Danio rerio: one gene and its partners. The protein of the gene in region 4 interacts with the protein of the main gene of each other region in a pairwise test. Links are inferred from orthologs where the notes say so. Each region holds a gene or a part of one and is shown on either strand. Other genes may lie near its edges.

Region 1 (4,028 bases), on a different chromosome or scaffold from region 4:
TTGCACTCATATAAAAAATATAGAGAGTTTATAAAGTAAATGACTACCTTGACGTGCGTTCTTCATTGCATTTGGGCCGTTTTATGTCCCCAAGCAGAGCAGAGATTTACAGGCAAAACATAAACGCTGTGGTGTCGCTCCTCGTTTCCACTAAAAAATAGAAACGGTGTTAACTCACTAAATTTAAATAGCATCTAACATTTCATTTGTTTGACTGAAACAACAAAGCCAGACAGTTTTAACCGTGTGCATGCAATTTCAATGGAATACTTACTTTCAAAAAGCTGCACTCGTGTGTCAGTGTGCCATCTTATAAAGACAAATTAATGCAAATAATGCATAAACTTGTGGTTAATCATTTGTTTGAGCTAGAGTTAGTGAATGCACATTATTAAACCGTATAAGTGACATTTTCGTTTGTTTTGTTTGAGTAAATCAAACAACAAATATCATATTAGAATTGCAACCCAAATGGTAAACAAAATCAAAACCAGAAGCAATTTCAAATATCCAAATTTCAAAAATTTATTCATTTCAAACTGCATTGGAAAAAAAACTCATCTTGTAACTGTTATAATGATGTTATTAGTTAAAATATATACATGGAGCGTTGGCAACTGCGTACAGGCCACATTTTACAACTACGAAAAATGAAAGTTTTAAAATAAAAACTTAAAATATCACAGAAAATGTACAGAAAATTTACAAACCATGAGAAAATAAAGAACACAAACTTCATATATCTAACAGATGAAGAGTGGGAGACCGAAAATAATCAAGTGGAAATTAAAAAAAGCTGGAGAGTGCCTCTGTTCGTTCTCTCATTTAGAACTTAATAATAATAATAATAATAATAATAATAATAATAATAATAATAATAATAATGATTTATTACTATGTACCTTCAGTGAGAAACTCTTTAAATCCAGTTTTCATGTCAGCCTTTGCAAAACTTTGACGTAAACATCAGTTGTGCATCAATTTCTTGCACAATTTTTTATAATTTTTTTAAAACTTTCTGCTGTTTACAAACATTACATCTCGTTGTTGTTATTACGCTTCTTTTTTTAGATAAATACTGTACAAAAAGTCGATTGCAATAATAAAACATTTGATTCATTCTCCCCCCGCTTGTCAACCATGTCCAAATCTCATACACCTTTTGGAAACAAAACAGAACTGAAAAATCTAAATTAAAAAAATAATAAAATAAATCAGAAGAGAACAAAACAAAAACTGTGTGGAGTTCCTACCGTTCCTCTTTTTTTTAGTTTGTTTGTTTGTTTGTTTGTTTGTTTTTTAAATAGAAAGCAAAAGTTTTGTGTTCTTTCCTTGAGCTCTATACAACTTTTTCCCTCCCCAAAAGAAGTGTTCTGTACAAAAATAGTCCAGCAGTGTAGTAAAAAGAGTTCATTTTACATATGCGATAAGGGAATCGTGCCGTTAATCGTCGTACCGGGCACAGGTGCGCTCTGGTAATGTTGGGACATGTGCAGTCTGCTCTGAGCGCTCTGGTCCTGCACCTCCGCCCCGGGCAGGTACATACTGATCATGTCCCGCAGGTCCCCCGTTTGGCACTGTCCGGCCCGGGAATGAGACGACGACGTGACCACCGGCGGACTCGAACTAGACTCGGACTTGACCACCGAGCCCATGGAGCCCAGCGTCATTCCCGGCGTGCTTTGCTGCGAATAGGACATGCTGTAGGTGGGCGAGCCGTTCATGTAGGTCTGCGAGTTGGTCATGGAGTTGTACTGGAGCGCGCTCATGTCGTAGCGGTGCATGGGCTGCATCTGCGCCGTGTTGTGCGCGTTCAAACTCGGGTGCTGCGGGTAACCCAGCTGCTCCTGCATCATGCCGTAGCCTCCGTTGGTCCAGCCGTTCATATGCGCGTAGCTGTCCATCCTCTGGTTGACCCCGGCGCCCAAACCGGCCCCTACACCCACGCCGGCGCCCATGCCGTTGCCGCCCGGCGCCAGGAGCCCGCCCGGCAGGGTGTACTTGTCCTTCTTCATCAGGGTCTTGGTTTTCCTCCGGGGTCTGTATTTGTAATCCGGGTGTTCCTTCATGTGCAGAGCCCGAAGGCGTTTGGCTTCGTCGATGAATGGTCGCTTCTCGCTCTCGGACAGAAGTTTCCACTCGGCCCCGAGTCGCTTACTTATTTCCGAATTGTGCATTTTGGGGTTCTCCTGTGCCATTTTCCGCCGCTGTCCCCTCGACCACACCATGAAGGCGTTCATGGGTCTCTTGATGCGGTCCGGGCTGTTTTTCTGGTTGTTTCCCGAGGAGTTGGTGTTCCCCGTGCCCCCGGTGTTGGGCTGGGGCGCCGGGGGCTTCAGCTCGGTTTCCATCATGTTATACATTTAAACCGATTTTCTCGAAAGTCTACCCCACCAGCCGTAAAAATAAAAAATAAAGAAGTCCAAAAAGTGTGTGGAGAGGCTGCTGAAGTTACCTTAGCAGTTGGAGGTAACTTTGCTGGGAAAAGAAGCGCTCTTAGGTCCTGTTGTGCCCACAAACTTCTTTTCTTAGTCTTGAAGAATCAACACAAACTCGGTTTCCCTCCTCGCCAGAGCCCTTGTCAACTCCTGATACTTTTTGAACAAGTTAATAGACAACCATTCATAGAGCGACTGTCAGCGAATATAAATGGGTTTGTCGCTGACCAATCAGAGCGCGTCTGCTCCCTCGGTTTGCATAAAGGGGCGGGGTTACGGACGGTCAGCAGTGCAGCGCAGAGCCACAGGCAGTGGCTGTGAGTGTGTGTGTGTGTGTGTGTGTTTATGAGAGAGCTAAAGTGAGAATATTTCACACAAACCATTTTCCAATCAAACTCTGTATGATCTTAAGATTCTAAATAAACATTTAAAGTTTTATTATTAGTATTATTATTATTATTATTATTATTATTATTATTATTATTACTATTATTATTTATCGCTTTGTTTTTAGTGTAAGTTTGCGTATTCAACACATCAGTTAAACTCTTAAAGCACTGAAAATAAAATAAAGATTTTTTTAAGTTAAAACGGCAAGCTCATAATATTAAAAACTTCCAAAATAATGCGTGAATAAGCCGAATAAAATATAGCTATTTATTATTTAGTTCGCATTTAAAAATGAGCAGCGGCTTGTTTTATTAACGAATACAATAAAGTAAACGCAGGCGCACGAATTTAAAAGGTGTCATTTTAAAAACACTCGTTCTTGAGACATTATCCCAACTAACATGCCTGTATTTATGCCACTACACTTCAACCGGCTCAAGCTGAATGTGAATTAGAAAATGGAGGCCCGTCAATCATCACAAATAGGTAGTTTTGTTTCGGCTGTTGTCATTACATCACTCTGAACAAAAGCACGACAAAAGCCGACTACACTGACCATCTGAGTTGTAAGGATTTGTGTTATTAGGATTCACTCCATGAAGAGTGACAGGGGGAGAGGGTTTATTCAGCACAGCCTCCTTCAAAATAACAAGAGCACGGGCGCTTTGATTAAATCCAATTATTTGTATAATAACTAAAAACACAAGGAGCTATTTTTTGCCCAACACATCTATTCTCCGAGAATTACGATTAAAAGCTGATCATTCTTCCTGCAGAAGTTGACTTTACTCGACAAGAGTGGAACTAATATACAAACAGGCTTAATGTCAGGAGGAAAAAATGCCTATTTTATATTTTTCTTTTCCACGAAAGCATGTTTTATGTTTCAACAGCGTCCTCTTGCGGTCACACTGATACAAACTCGTGCTCCCTCAACATTTTCCACATGCACGCAGTTATTTTGGATTGCTTTATAAATAAGTTTTAGTCGCTGTACTTTTTATATAATTAGCGGGAGATAAAAAATAATAATTACACAAAACAAACAACATAAATTCCAACAATAATACTTATTTTTTTAGGGTTGCATGCATGAATAAATAAACACTCTCTCAGCGTCGTTTTAAACTTGTAAATCGACTAACAACGTGAGAATTTCAACACGACGGCAATGCAGCATGCGCCTTTATAATGCAAGTC
Region 2 (4,251 bases), on a different chromosome or scaffold from region 4:
GTTGCGGCTGGAAGGGCATCCGCTGCGTAAAAACTTGCTGGATAAATTGGCGGTTCTTTCCGCTGTGGTGATCCCGGATTAATAAAGGGACTAAGTCGACAAGAAAATGAATGAATGAATAAATTGGCCGTAGTGTATGTGTGTGAATGCAAAAGTGTATGGGTGTTTCCCAGTGTTGGGTTAGGCTGGAAGGGCATCCGCTGCGCAAAACATATGCTGAATAAGTTGGTGGTTCAATCCACTGTGGCGACCCCAGATTAATAAAGGGAATAAGCCAAAAAGAAGATTAATAAATGAATGAAATTTCAATTAAACCACATACTTCTACAAGAAGTAACAATGTTGGCTTTTTATTTCAGATGTGAACTTAAAAGTTGGGAACATAGAGATGCATCAAATTAAATTTAATATATTTATTTTATATAGAAAGCAGAGTTTTGAATTATTGTTTTAAATAATTTGAAACAATAAAATGCTATAGAGGGTAAATCTATTTTACATAAATTACTTTTAAGGGTAAAACTCAGGTTAGTGTAATAAAAAAAGATCCTTACCTTTTAACTTTACTCCTTATTCCTTCACCTAAATGTGAGATGAAAGTTGAGGGGTTAAATTAAGTCTTTTGATATGTCATGAAATTATTGTTTGAAATATGTTTAAAAAGTTTTTTTTTTTTTTTTGTAACAGTGAAGGAGCTGAAAAAAAGTTACAATACACATAATATGTATTTTAATATATGAGCACTTGTTCTCATATTTCATATTTGTTAGGAAACAATGTTATGTTCTTATATTTTCTGGTCACATATTTATTTCTATTTCTATGTACATAATTATATCATTCTTGTTTTGTTTTTAAGAAGTTTTTTGTACTATATTGTCCATTGTTAAAAACCAATAGTGACAAAACATTATTATTATTAGGCTATTAATAGCAAAATAAGCTAAACGTGTATCAATGTTCATGACAATGAATCAAATTTAGTAAATTTTTTATCTACTCTGTAAAATTTTCTCATGCCTACAGTAGGTTACATTTCAGGGACCACTGGCTCTTATTCTATCTTGTATAAAAGAAAATACAAGTAAGAACAATTCATATTCCAAATGCTCTCCTATTAACACCACGATCAGACATAGTTGTAGTTTTTTAAAACAATCCTCATATTCAGAGTCACTAATTTTCGATGCTTGTGCTAAATTTAGTTCATTTTTCCCAGGGATGACGAATAGTTGGCCAACCATTTCATGTTCCTGTGGAGTCCGGAAGCCAGTAGTGTCCCGTGTTGCAAATCGGAATTTATAAACAGGTCAGATTTTTAATCAGTCTGGTAGTAAACCTGTTCAAACGTGCCATTTGATGTAGCTGAGGTTATAAATGTTTTTAAACGACGCCGTGTCCGTGTAGTAGTAATGCGACGCGTCTCAGCCGGCGTCCATGTGTACGTGAACACACGTGGGTCTCCGAGCAGCACTTCTAGCACTGAAGCTAACACATGCTTGTCAGATTCGTGTAAAATATATATCCGCGTACATTTAATGTTGTTGAAGGACAAGTGTTTTGTTGACTTGCTGGTTTTATGCAGATATTTAGTGTTGCGGATGGTCTGACGTTGTTGGTTTTTATTGGGTGCTTTAGCTTTTCAGTTAGCATAGTGTCAATTCACTGTGGTGTTGTTTATGTGTTAAATCAGATGAGTTTATGTTTTTTGGAATTGTTTTTATGGATTTGAGGACACAAATCTCTGTCTAGGACTAATGTGGTGTTGTCAAACAGTCTCCATTTCAACTACATGCTTTTGTGCAAATATGCAAACAAACAAACAGATAAAAATGTTATTGTTATACTAGTATGTCAAAATATTTGTCCTCGAATACTCGTAAAATAATCTGACAGTGACCAAACTAAACGTTATGTTTATGTCATATTACTTTGCTTTGTAAACAGAGATCATGTATGTTATGGCCACGTTATACATGTAAACATCACTTTCGAGGGACTGTAGTGTATGTACGTTATACTGTTTTAAATTGGTCTCATATAAGCTGTTCAAGTGTGTCACGAAAGCTCTAGAGCATTTGTTTGTAAGTTTGATTAGCATTTATGGTGGTTGAACATATTAAATAAAGTTAAGTAAATAATTAAGTTGGTTTTATATTTGCATATTCTGAAATTTTCCTTAATATAATTTCAGAAAAGTATTATTAAATTCTGAATAGGAAAATCAGATTAGCAGCCAATAACTTTTAAAATACATCATTGTTTACATTCAATTAAATAGTTTTCATGTTGTTTTAAAGTCATACTTGCATGCGATTTCAGATAGAATATTCAAAGTACTTAGCTGGGTAAACAATTAGGGGACAGTTATATAGAGTATATAAGTTATTATAACACATATTAATATGTGAATATAAAACCAACTTTACCTCAGTGTTGAACATATGATGAGAACAATATTGTGTATTGTTAATCTTTGTTTTTTTTATGTTTTTGGAGAGTAAGTAAAATACATTTGTGTTTAGTTCCTAGTCTTTTTTTTCTTTAGCTTTTATATATACTGCATAAAATAATTATAACAAATGTAGAGTTCCCAAATAAATCTGCAGATGTTTTTGTATCATGCAGACTATTTCAGCAAGATATAGTAAATATATGCATCATGCGTTATTTTTGTTGAATATTCTTACAGTGATTTTGTTTGTGATTATAACATGTCTCTTGACAAATTTTATTTATGTTTATTAATGTAATAATCATAATAAGATAATCAATTATCTTATAGGCTAATAAAAACTGTGAAGGTGCAAACATTGAGAAAACACAATGGTCAGCATAACAGCAGGTTGAAATGTAATACGGCCCCATTTGATTGGCCAAATTTGGATAAACAACTTATTTATGCAACACAAAATCTTGGCGCATATGCTATTATTTTGATAATGATAAATCTACAATATATTGGGCAGCCCTGTTGCTGAAAAAAGCTTGTAAGCTTTGTCATACTCTTAAGAGGACTAAAGTGAAAGCATTTAAGTGCTCACTGTAATTCATTACATAATACCATTACTTTAACTTGCTCTCGGAATGTGTTCATTAAAAATATATAAAGGTGTATTGTAGTTTCTTTTTATATGTTATTTCTACTTCTCACAATCATTTGTAATTACAGATTCAAGTAAAGAAAAAAATTTAAGCATTTGCGATTTTAAGGCTGTTGAGTTTACAGTGGGCTTTAAATGACGCGTGTATAGTGTGCAATGATGTGAAAATAGTTAATAATAAATCATGAATTGATTTAGGATTTAAAATGTTTTACTTTGCAAAAATTTTTAAATAAAACATTGTTATTAATATTATTTTTGAATAAGATAAAATATTAGTGGGCGGCGTGTGGGTTTCCTCTGGGTGCTCCGGTTTCCCTCACACAAGTTTAAAGACATGTGCTACTACAGGTGAATTGGGTAATCTAAATTGTTCATAGTGTGTGTGAATGAGTGTATGGGTGCTTCCTAGTGATGGGTTGCTGCTGGAAGGGCATCTGCTGCGTAAAACGTGCTGGATAAGTTTGTGGTTCATTCCGCTGTGACGACCCCTAATTAATAAAGGGACTAAGTAAAAAAAAAATGAATAAAATATCAGTCAGTCAATCAATAAGGAATAGATATTTATGCTTATTATTCTATTTAATATTAATTATAATTTATAAATGTTCAAAAAGCATCAAAACAATAAATATGCAGCAAAAACATTTTTGTTGCATTAAAATGTTTAATTTTTATCATACACATTTATTTTAATTTATACATTTATTTATTTGGCAAGTTTACAACAAGGAAACTGAATATTTAGCAACACAACAAATCACTAATTGAGAATTAAAGTGTATTCCCAAAATCCAAATTTAATTGTAATTTTCCAAACAGGTGTCATACATTCAAAAAAACACCAAAAAAAGAGGATTTTTGCTGCTTGTTCAAACTACTTATTTAAAATAAGATGAATAAACACAATTCTTATGGGGTACACCTAATTGTTTTATGTTCAGTTCATTTAAATTTGTAAAAATAATTAGGTTAACTTGCGGTTGGGATATTTTATTAGGAATTTTGTGGCAGTGGCGCCCAATATTTTAACAGTGTATCCCAGTTGTTAGCAAAATGTAAACACTAAAAAAAGTGTAAATGATGAACAATCAGAGCAAAGTTGAAATTAGATCAACAAAATGTCTATAATAATAATTACAGTAAA
Region 3 (4,098 bases), on a different chromosome or scaffold from region 4:
TGGCTCTTTTATACAAACTTTTGATTTTTGCAAATAAACTATTTAAAACTTGTTAATATAGCTAGCTTATAGCACAAGTCCTCGTCTTAAGAATAAGTAGTTTAAACAACGACGTAGTTTTCATCCTGGTTAAACTGACTCTTAATGGCACACCGTCGTTTCCAAACACTTTCTTGATGGTTTCCAGACTTTTTCAACTTTTTGCGACTTCTACATTTTATCAATGCAGATTCGAGCTCTCTCTTCTCCACGACCGCCTCGAAACGTAAAAAGCGAAATATATATTGAGCGAAATCATTTTCAAACAGGCTGGATGGGATGCTTTCGCGCAGCTGAAGAGTTGCGCTGTGAACCACGAGCGCTTCCTCTGTCTGCCGGTCGCGCGGTGAGAGAGTGAAGGAGAGGTGGGTGCGAGACCGAGAGGGACAGAGAGCGCGAGTTATGATAGAGCAGAGCACTGGCCAATAGAAGAACAGAGGGGTGGGGCTCGGGATTTCTCACCGTTCTGCATGGGCCCTTAAAGTTTGTTTGTTCGCTGAATGCGGCGTGTGATGAAAACGTGTTACTGATCCCGTTCGGCAATAATCAGATGAATCTGATTTGGGACATCTGATATATTCTTTGGACTTTCGAGACGCCGATAGTTGCCATTACGCACGAAACTCGGCTGACCGACCTACTTTTAACACCGTTGCCTTGAGGAAAGAGAGCGAATTGGTGAGAAACGGTGCGCTTGCAGTCATCCAGGAGCTGAATTACAGCAACTTTAATGCCAATCACAAACCAGGATACGCGATACGCTCCGAAACGTCAAGCCACGGGAAAGGAAGATCTTTGGCAGAGAGTTTGAGTCTCCGGACACTTTTGGGTGAATTGCAACTTTTGAGCGCCACTTTGATGCCCAGACAGATCAAAAGATACGGTTGGTCTTTCGAAAGAGAAATTGACATTCCTGTAGTGGCTAAGTTAAGCTCTAACGTGGCCACCAGATGGTTGCTAAGAAGGGTTAAACTGTATCTAAAGGGAGTTGGAAAATCCAGCCTTTCTTCCTCACGGATCAACTCATTGGGTGGGAGCAGCAAGAGAGACAAGAGTCCCCAGCAAATCAGCGGCTAATTGATTAAAGAGACTTCATTTGAATAGGGGGCTGGCAAGGTGCCAATCGCCTTTCAGAGGACCCCCCACCCCCCTCCCTTCCATGATTAATCGCGAGGCATTATTGATAATCATAACAGGACACATGCGCGGTGGATGGGCTCGATTTCCGTAATTTTGAGCAGATTTGATAGTAATTTTTTATTCTTTCGTGGCTGATGCGTGAGCCAGCATGTCGCGGAGGAAACAAGCGAAGCCGCAGCATTTCCAGTCCGACTCGCAGCTGGTCCTAGCCGAGCACAATGGTGAGTTCAAGCCCTTATTACACACAGCAACTCAGTTTGCACTATTTTCACAAAGGATTTATAACTTAATTTTAATTATTGTTGGTTTTAACATTTTTAGAGTGAATCCCCCTTGTTTTTAATCCCAGGCAAGGAACTGGTCATCGTATTCTTTCTTTATAGCTAATATTTGTGCTGCTGAAGGGACTGCTGTATTTTTAAAGTACAGTTGGAAACTTTTAGACTTCCCGTGCTATTGTCAGAAATCAGTTTGTGCTTAACACAAAGGCACTTTTACGCATGTTCTGTGTGATATTCTTCAATGAACAAACATATTTCTGCAATTATTGTTTATTTATTAACAAATTGGTTTCCAGTTGTAATTTGGGTGACGTTTGCGCGTTACTTTATTTTTTAAGGCTTTCAAATTTCACCATACAGCATTCATTGGCAAAAGTTAAAACTCATCGAATTAGTTTGGTTCTGGCCCGTTTAAGTTGCCCACACAAGTGGGGATTCGCATGGTTTCAGCTTTTCCCCCTCCTCCTCTCTTGTGTTGCATCTCTAGACCTCGGTACCGCCAAAACACACAGAAACGACATTAAACCTATTATTTAAACAATTCTTTTATTTTGTGTATAGTTTTACACAGTTTTATCTCAGTGGCACACTGTTCCTGTCGCGCTCCGTTATCAAAGATTATATAATGCTAACTTTTATAAACGTTGGTTAAATCAACGAAACTTTTTTTATTAAAATATTTTACTATTATTTCTCAGGTTTCTTAAACTTTAAAAGAGGTATATAGTAAACCGAATCAAAGTTAAACAGCATGTAGTCACAGGCGATCGAACAACGAAATCACATAATCTCATGTAATCGAGCTTTTCTATTATGACTTCATACTTATATAATTTTGTTTCTTTTTTGCGTCATTATAAATTCTGTCTTATACAATAGACGGATTTTGAAAACACGCTTTAATATTTTCACGTGCAGTTTTAAATGCGTTTTAAAATGAGATTTTATATCAAGAGCTGATTTACTAAACTGTGCCATGTAGTTTCCGACACACTCTGTCCCACACTGTGACACAACTCATCTCTCAAAGCCTACCGTGCGTTGACAACTTTTAAAGCATCAGTTTATACACATTTAGGCTAAACAAATGAAAATCCAAAATTATGAATTTGTTATTTTACTTTGAATATATAAGTAACGACATGAACCTAACTATAAGTATGCTTTTTTCTAATAGCATATGCTCTCATGCTAAATTTAATTCAATAGTTTTTTAATATGTGAGAAGATTTCAGCTTCAAGTCAGACAAGCAGTCACTAAAGGTTTTGCAAGAGCCGTTGACTACAAATTTAGGTCTTATATGCTACCTGTTTTACTACTTCTAAACTGCACATATCAAAGGCCGTCTCAGGTCTATAAAAAGAATAGAAAGGGCATACTGAACATTTTGATCACTTAGTGTCTTGTTTGAACCATTTTAAAACGAGTGTGTCGGGGGAACTGTCCTATCTATTGCTTAACTCAGCGTTTTGTAAGCTATCATGTTTCTGATTAGAATGGGACCTCTGAAGAGGTAAGGATTTTATTTCATATCGAAACTGCATCCAACTAATTTTCTAATAAAAAAAATATCTATTTTAATCAGTTTTATCTTAAATATTCCGTTCTGGATTATTTGATTTACCAGAAGTGACATACTTGTATGCTAAAGAGAAAGTATGCCATAGAAATAAAGCACTTTTCTTTGACTGCGGCTTACCTTCAGTTCTTACAAGATTCATAGAGACATTAATGACTGGCACATCGCGATTATTAATACTTCAAATAACACTTGAATTCAACATTGTTTACGCCTTCCATCTTCACTTTAAATTGACTAATCAAGTCTTCTAAATGAAAATAAAATAAACGGCTTTTTGTTCAATTTCATGGGCCGCTGTGGACACCAGTTGCTATTAGAAGACATAACTTTCAGAGGCTTTCCTTAATGTGTTGATGTTCGATTATATGAAATATAAATATAGACAAATTTATCAGTACTATTAATTAGTCTAAATCATCCACAGAATTTTATAAAAAATATTTTCGCTGATATAATTGATGAGATGCAATAATAATTACACCCTCTTATTTTACCATATAGCCCTCTTAATTTGAGAACATGCATGTGCAGCAATCAGCTCGATGTTATTAAAAATTAATACGAGAACAGGCCCAGATTTGCAAAAGTAGTTGTTTGGCGTCTTCCGTGAGAAATGCATTCAAAAGTGAAGTTTATGTGATTAATGCTAGAATTTCAGAAACGAAAAAACAAATCTTCAAAATCATGCCATTGCTGGATTTTCCCGTTCAAATTTAATAATGAATTGAATAGCAGTGTTTGTCAACCGCTGTCATCTGACCAAGTTCACATTTTTGCAAAAAAAAAAAAGCTCATTCAAAGCAAGAGGCGAACTGATTTTTTTAGATACATTGTTATACTGCTATATTTTTTAATTCACCATTTCTTAATAACGCTTTGTTTTTCGTAACTCTTAGTGTAAAACAAAACTTAATGAGTACAGAAAAAACTCCCCTTTAGTGTCTGCTCTCCTGAGGAAAACTAAGCTGATTTTCTCCCAATGCTTTGCGGCCTGTGTGAGGAATTAGAAAGCAGTATTACGGTTAGTCTGAGGTGAGAAGTCTGTCCCTGTTGGC
Region 4 (4,052 bases):
TAATGAGGATGATGATGATGATGATGATGATGATGATGATGATGATGATGATGATGATGATGATGATAATAATAATATACTAAACAAAAGTTTTGTAAAAAAAAAAGATATTTAAATGTTTTAGACAAAAAGATGAATAAACAATTATAATATGAAATATTATTTCAATTTTAAATATCTGTATTGTTGTATGTAAATATGTTTAATATTCCAATGAGAGTTCAGAATTTGTTATGGTCAATTTTACTTGGTGCTCTATGATTAATAATAATTCTGCTTGATATTTCTGTTAAATACACAATACATTCAGCTTTCTAAAATTCTCAGAAGAAACTGTATTTGAAATAAAATGTTCAGTAACATTATACAGATTTTTTATATTACCTTTGATCCACTGAATTAGTCTTAATGTCTTTTTTAAAATCTATGGCATTAAAAGTTATAAATACATAAAATAAACGATTTATTGTTTTATTTATGCAGGAATTTGCGAATTTATTAACTAATTGATTTTTTATTTGCATATTAATTTATTGTTTTATTTATTTATTGCTTTATTTATTTACTTTATTTATTCATTGCTTTTTATTTTTTATCTTTTTAATTTGTGTATTTATTTTGTACATTTGTTTATTTATTTAGCATGTTTATTTATTGTTTTATTTATGCAGGAATTTGTCTATTTATTTATTAATTTATTTGTGTATTTATTTATTTATTGTTTTATTTATGCAAGAATTTGTATTTATTTATTTTTTGTGTATTTATTTATTTATTGTTTTATTTACACAGGGATTTGAGTATTTATTCATTTATTCGTGTAGTTATTTATTAATTATTTTATTTATGTAGGAACTTGTGTATATATTTAGTCATTTATTTATTTATTTATTTGCGTATTTATTTACTGTTTTATTTATGAAGGAATTTGTACATGTGTTAATTAATTTATTTATTTGCGTATTTATTTATTTGTTGCTTTTGCAGGTTTCGTCCTCCAGAGGTGTAGTGTAGTTGTCACATTATTTTTGCACTCTAATATTTCGTGACCAAAATACTGATGTGTTTTTTTTTTTTTTTTTTTTGCAAAATACGGGCCTCCCTATGTTTTACCAATAGCAACATCGCAGATGGCGATTGGAGCCAATCAGAAAGAGCGTGGTGAGAAAAACAACGCTCGTTGGGTCATCGACCCAGTGTCATAGAAAGTCCAGCCCCTTTCCAATGACGTCAACGGCGCTGTGTTGTGGGTCTGCTGGTAGCACTATCAAAACCTCTCATTACTGTACATAACACTGTATCGTTTAAATCAAACAATCTTGATCTACAGAAGGGCTGCACATTGCGGAATATCATGTCAGACACGGTGAGTCTAAACCTGTGATGCTGAATCGAACTTTCATGAGAGCAGACGAGAAAGACGGACTTATAGAAAATGAAAATAAGAGGGCCCAGCTTTTAGCCTGTCTAGCTGACTGTGGTTTGGAAAGTATTTTTGATAAAAATGCTTGAGTGTTTTTAACTGTGCATAGTTTCTGGTTCTCGCAATTTACACATTAGTCCAATTTACTGTGTTCACAAATGCCAAAAATATGTGAATTTCTTCCTCAAATCGTCCAATTAGCATGTGTGCTAGTTAGCTGCTCTGGGCCCTGAAAGCAGAGTTCATAATATCTTGAGCTGATAGACCATGCTGAACATTTGAATTAGTTATTAATTGTTGATTTTTTGATATGTTCATTAGGATTATTCGTTATTTGTTCACGTTAGTTTGTGTTCGGTTTGTGCTCGTATTAACAGCTCGCGATAGAAGAGTAACGTTAGGTTGTGTGTTTACATTCAAAGCACACACACACACACACACAGCCTAGTGTTTAAATGATAACAACACTCACAATATTATTTTATATATAATATATATATATATATATATATATATATATATATATATATATATATATATATATATATATAATTATAATTTATTAAAATCGGATCTACCTTATTTTATACGATCTTCAGTCAATATTTTATTGAATTCAGTCCCAAGATATTTTTTTAATTCATTACATTAAATCTGATAAAAAAACAATATGACATGCAGTAATCGAATGCTTGTTTTGTTTTAATAGGAGACCAAGCCCTCAAGTGATGGAGGCGAGAAGAAGGATGGAGAGTACATTAAACTCAAAGTGATCGGTCAGGTGAGCAAAAGCACTTGTTTTCTAGGAAATGCAGGTTTTCATATTTAAACCCATTACTGTTTAAAACCAATCCAGCTGTTCTTTTATAATGAGATATATGAAAAGATCTGAACAGATTTGATGATTTCCTTTCATTTCGCAGGACAACAGTGAAATTCACTTTAAAGTGAAGATGACGACACATTTAAAGAAGCTGAAGGAATCCTACAGTCAGAGACAGGTGAGTCAGTTTTTCCATTTATGAGGGATAACGATAAATCTACACTACCATTCAGAGGTTTTGGGGGGTGGGTAGGATTTTTAAAAAACGCACTAATGCTACTTTTATTCAATCAAAAATGCATAAAATCTGTATTATTGTGAGTATTGTTACAAATAGAAATACACTAACACTGTAAAAATCTTAACTGTGATCAAATTAATGCGTCATTGCCGAAACAAAAAACAATGTTTAAATAGTTGTGTATGTTTCAGTTAAGGTTCCTGAGGTCTCATTTATAAAACATTGCATAGAAACTTTCCTAAAAGTGAATGTACACCAGAATACATTTTTATTTATTTATTAATTATTATGGCTTTTATGATGATTTAAAGTGCTTGAATTAAGTCAATATTTAAGCGAAATGTGTTTACTTAAAGCTGCGCACATTCTCCCGTCAAGTTTGTTTTTTATAGATCATAATAACCTGTATAAGAAGTGGCGTACACGTGTTTCCACCCCCAATTTTGTGTATACCATGTTTATAAATGAGACCCCTGGACAGTTTATTCTCTCTTTCAGATCAATTATTTGAACCATGTTAGTTAAAACATAAAACGTCTGTAATGATCATCTAAAGGGGGTGGAGTAACAATTTATTAAGAGGAAATTCACATTAATAGATGCTTTTAGTTTTGGTACAGAAAATATTGTTACACACAGGATATATATATATATTTTTACCCATTATGAGTTTTGGTAATAAACATTTAGTTTGCTTGCCTCGGCTTTTCTTTATCTCTGCTTTCTTAAATGAAACGCAACGACACAAGTATTTACTTTCTTTTACAAATATTATTGACAATATTCCATATCATACTCTCTGCTATTATAAATAAAACATAAACCCATTATATAATGACATGCAATCTAATTCTGAAATATATATATATATATATATATATATATATATATATATATGTATATGGTCAAAGATGTAAAAAATATATTTATATTTATCTGTTGCTTATAAAGTTACATGTTTCAGAAATTACATTTTACAAAAGTATATTTTTGTATTTAAATAAATTACTATTACAGTTTTATAAACACTCAAACCACTGCAGAAATGTTGCATATATCATATACACTAAAAAAAAAGACTTTTGCGGCTTGTTCAAAGTACTTATATATAATTAGCTGAAACTTGTGTTCTTGAGGACAACTTAATTGTTTTAAGTTAAGCCCACTTAAATTTATGAAAAAAAATTAAGTTTAATCAATTTATGATGGGCCATGTAAAAGAAATGTGTGGACCATAGCATTTTTACAGTATATTAGAGATCAATTTTCTATACAAGTTAAAATCATTACCTTAAATGTTTGTTTTAACAGTTGCTGGAAGTGTGTAAACAGGTTTTTGATTGTAAATGTAGCTTTCTTCACGAGTCACTGCTGCGTTTAAAATGGCATAAATGTTATGGGAGTGCACTATGGAGATAGCACAGTTGTCAATTTGAAGTTTATAAACTGAACTGTAATAAGAATAACTTTAATATAAAATGTGAACAAGACAACCTTTAATGTTTTTAAATGATTCAGAGTATTTGTGTTCAAATGGACAAGGGCATAGGGTGGATGATTCAGAA

What was found.
Region 1: the proteins of sumo1 (region 4) and sox2 interact in binary tests that used the Homo sapiens proteins (3 or more experiments, as listed by UniProt). The two-hybrid records come from large-scale screens. The link is inferred for Danio rerio from reciprocal best matches to the Homo sapiens genes SUMO1 and SOX2.
Region 2: the proteins of sumo1 (region 4) and zcchc7 interact in binary tests that used the Homo sapiens proteins (3 or more experiments, as listed by UniProt). The link is inferred for Danio rerio from reciprocal best matches to the Homo sapiens genes SUMO1 and ZCCHC7.
Region 3: the proteins of sumo1 (region 4) and sall1a interact in a two-hybrid assay, tested with the Homo sapiens proteins (2 studies listed by BioGRID, with this or other methods). The link is inferred for Danio rerio from reciprocal best matches to the Homo sapiens genes SUMO1 and SALL1.

The regions. Positions count from the first base shown.
Region 1 is NC_133197.1:39,474,721-39,478,748, forward strand, and holds sox2 (transcription factor Sox-2), read right to left. Parts: upstream 2,587-4,028; 5' UTR 2,364-2,586; coding exon 1,416-2,363; 3' UTR 501-1,415; downstream 1-500. UniProt on the Homo sapiens protein: Transcription factor that forms a trimeric complex with OCT4 on DNA and controls the expression of a number of genes involved in embryonic development such as YES1, FGF4, UTF1 and ZFP206. Binds to the proximal enhancer region of NANOG.
Region 2 is NC_133176.1:23,284,506-23,288,756, reverse strand, and holds the start of zcchc7 (zinc finger CCHC domain-containing protein 7), read left to right. Parts: upstream 1-1,451; 5' UTR 1,452-2,010; intron 2,011-4,251.
Region 3 is NC_133182.1:37,584,707-37,588,804, forward strand, and holds the start of sall1a (sal-like protein 1a), read left to right. Parts: upstream 1-1,298; 5' UTR 1,299-1,327; coding exon 1,328-1,400; intron 1,401-4,098. UniProt on the Homo sapiens protein: Transcriptional repressor involved in organogenesis. Plays an essential role in ureteric bud invasion during kidney development.
Region 4 is NC_133181.1:10,603,363-10,607,414, forward strand, and holds the start of sumo1 (small ubiquitin-related modifier 1), read left to right. Parts: upstream 1-1,252; 5' UTR 1,253-1,354; coding exon 1,355-1,366; intron 1,367-2,132; coding exon 2,133-2,204; intron 2,205-2,346; coding exon 2,347-2,424; intron 2,425-4,052. UniProt on the Homo sapiens protein: Ubiquitin-like protein that can be covalently attached to proteins as a monomer or a lysine-linked polymer.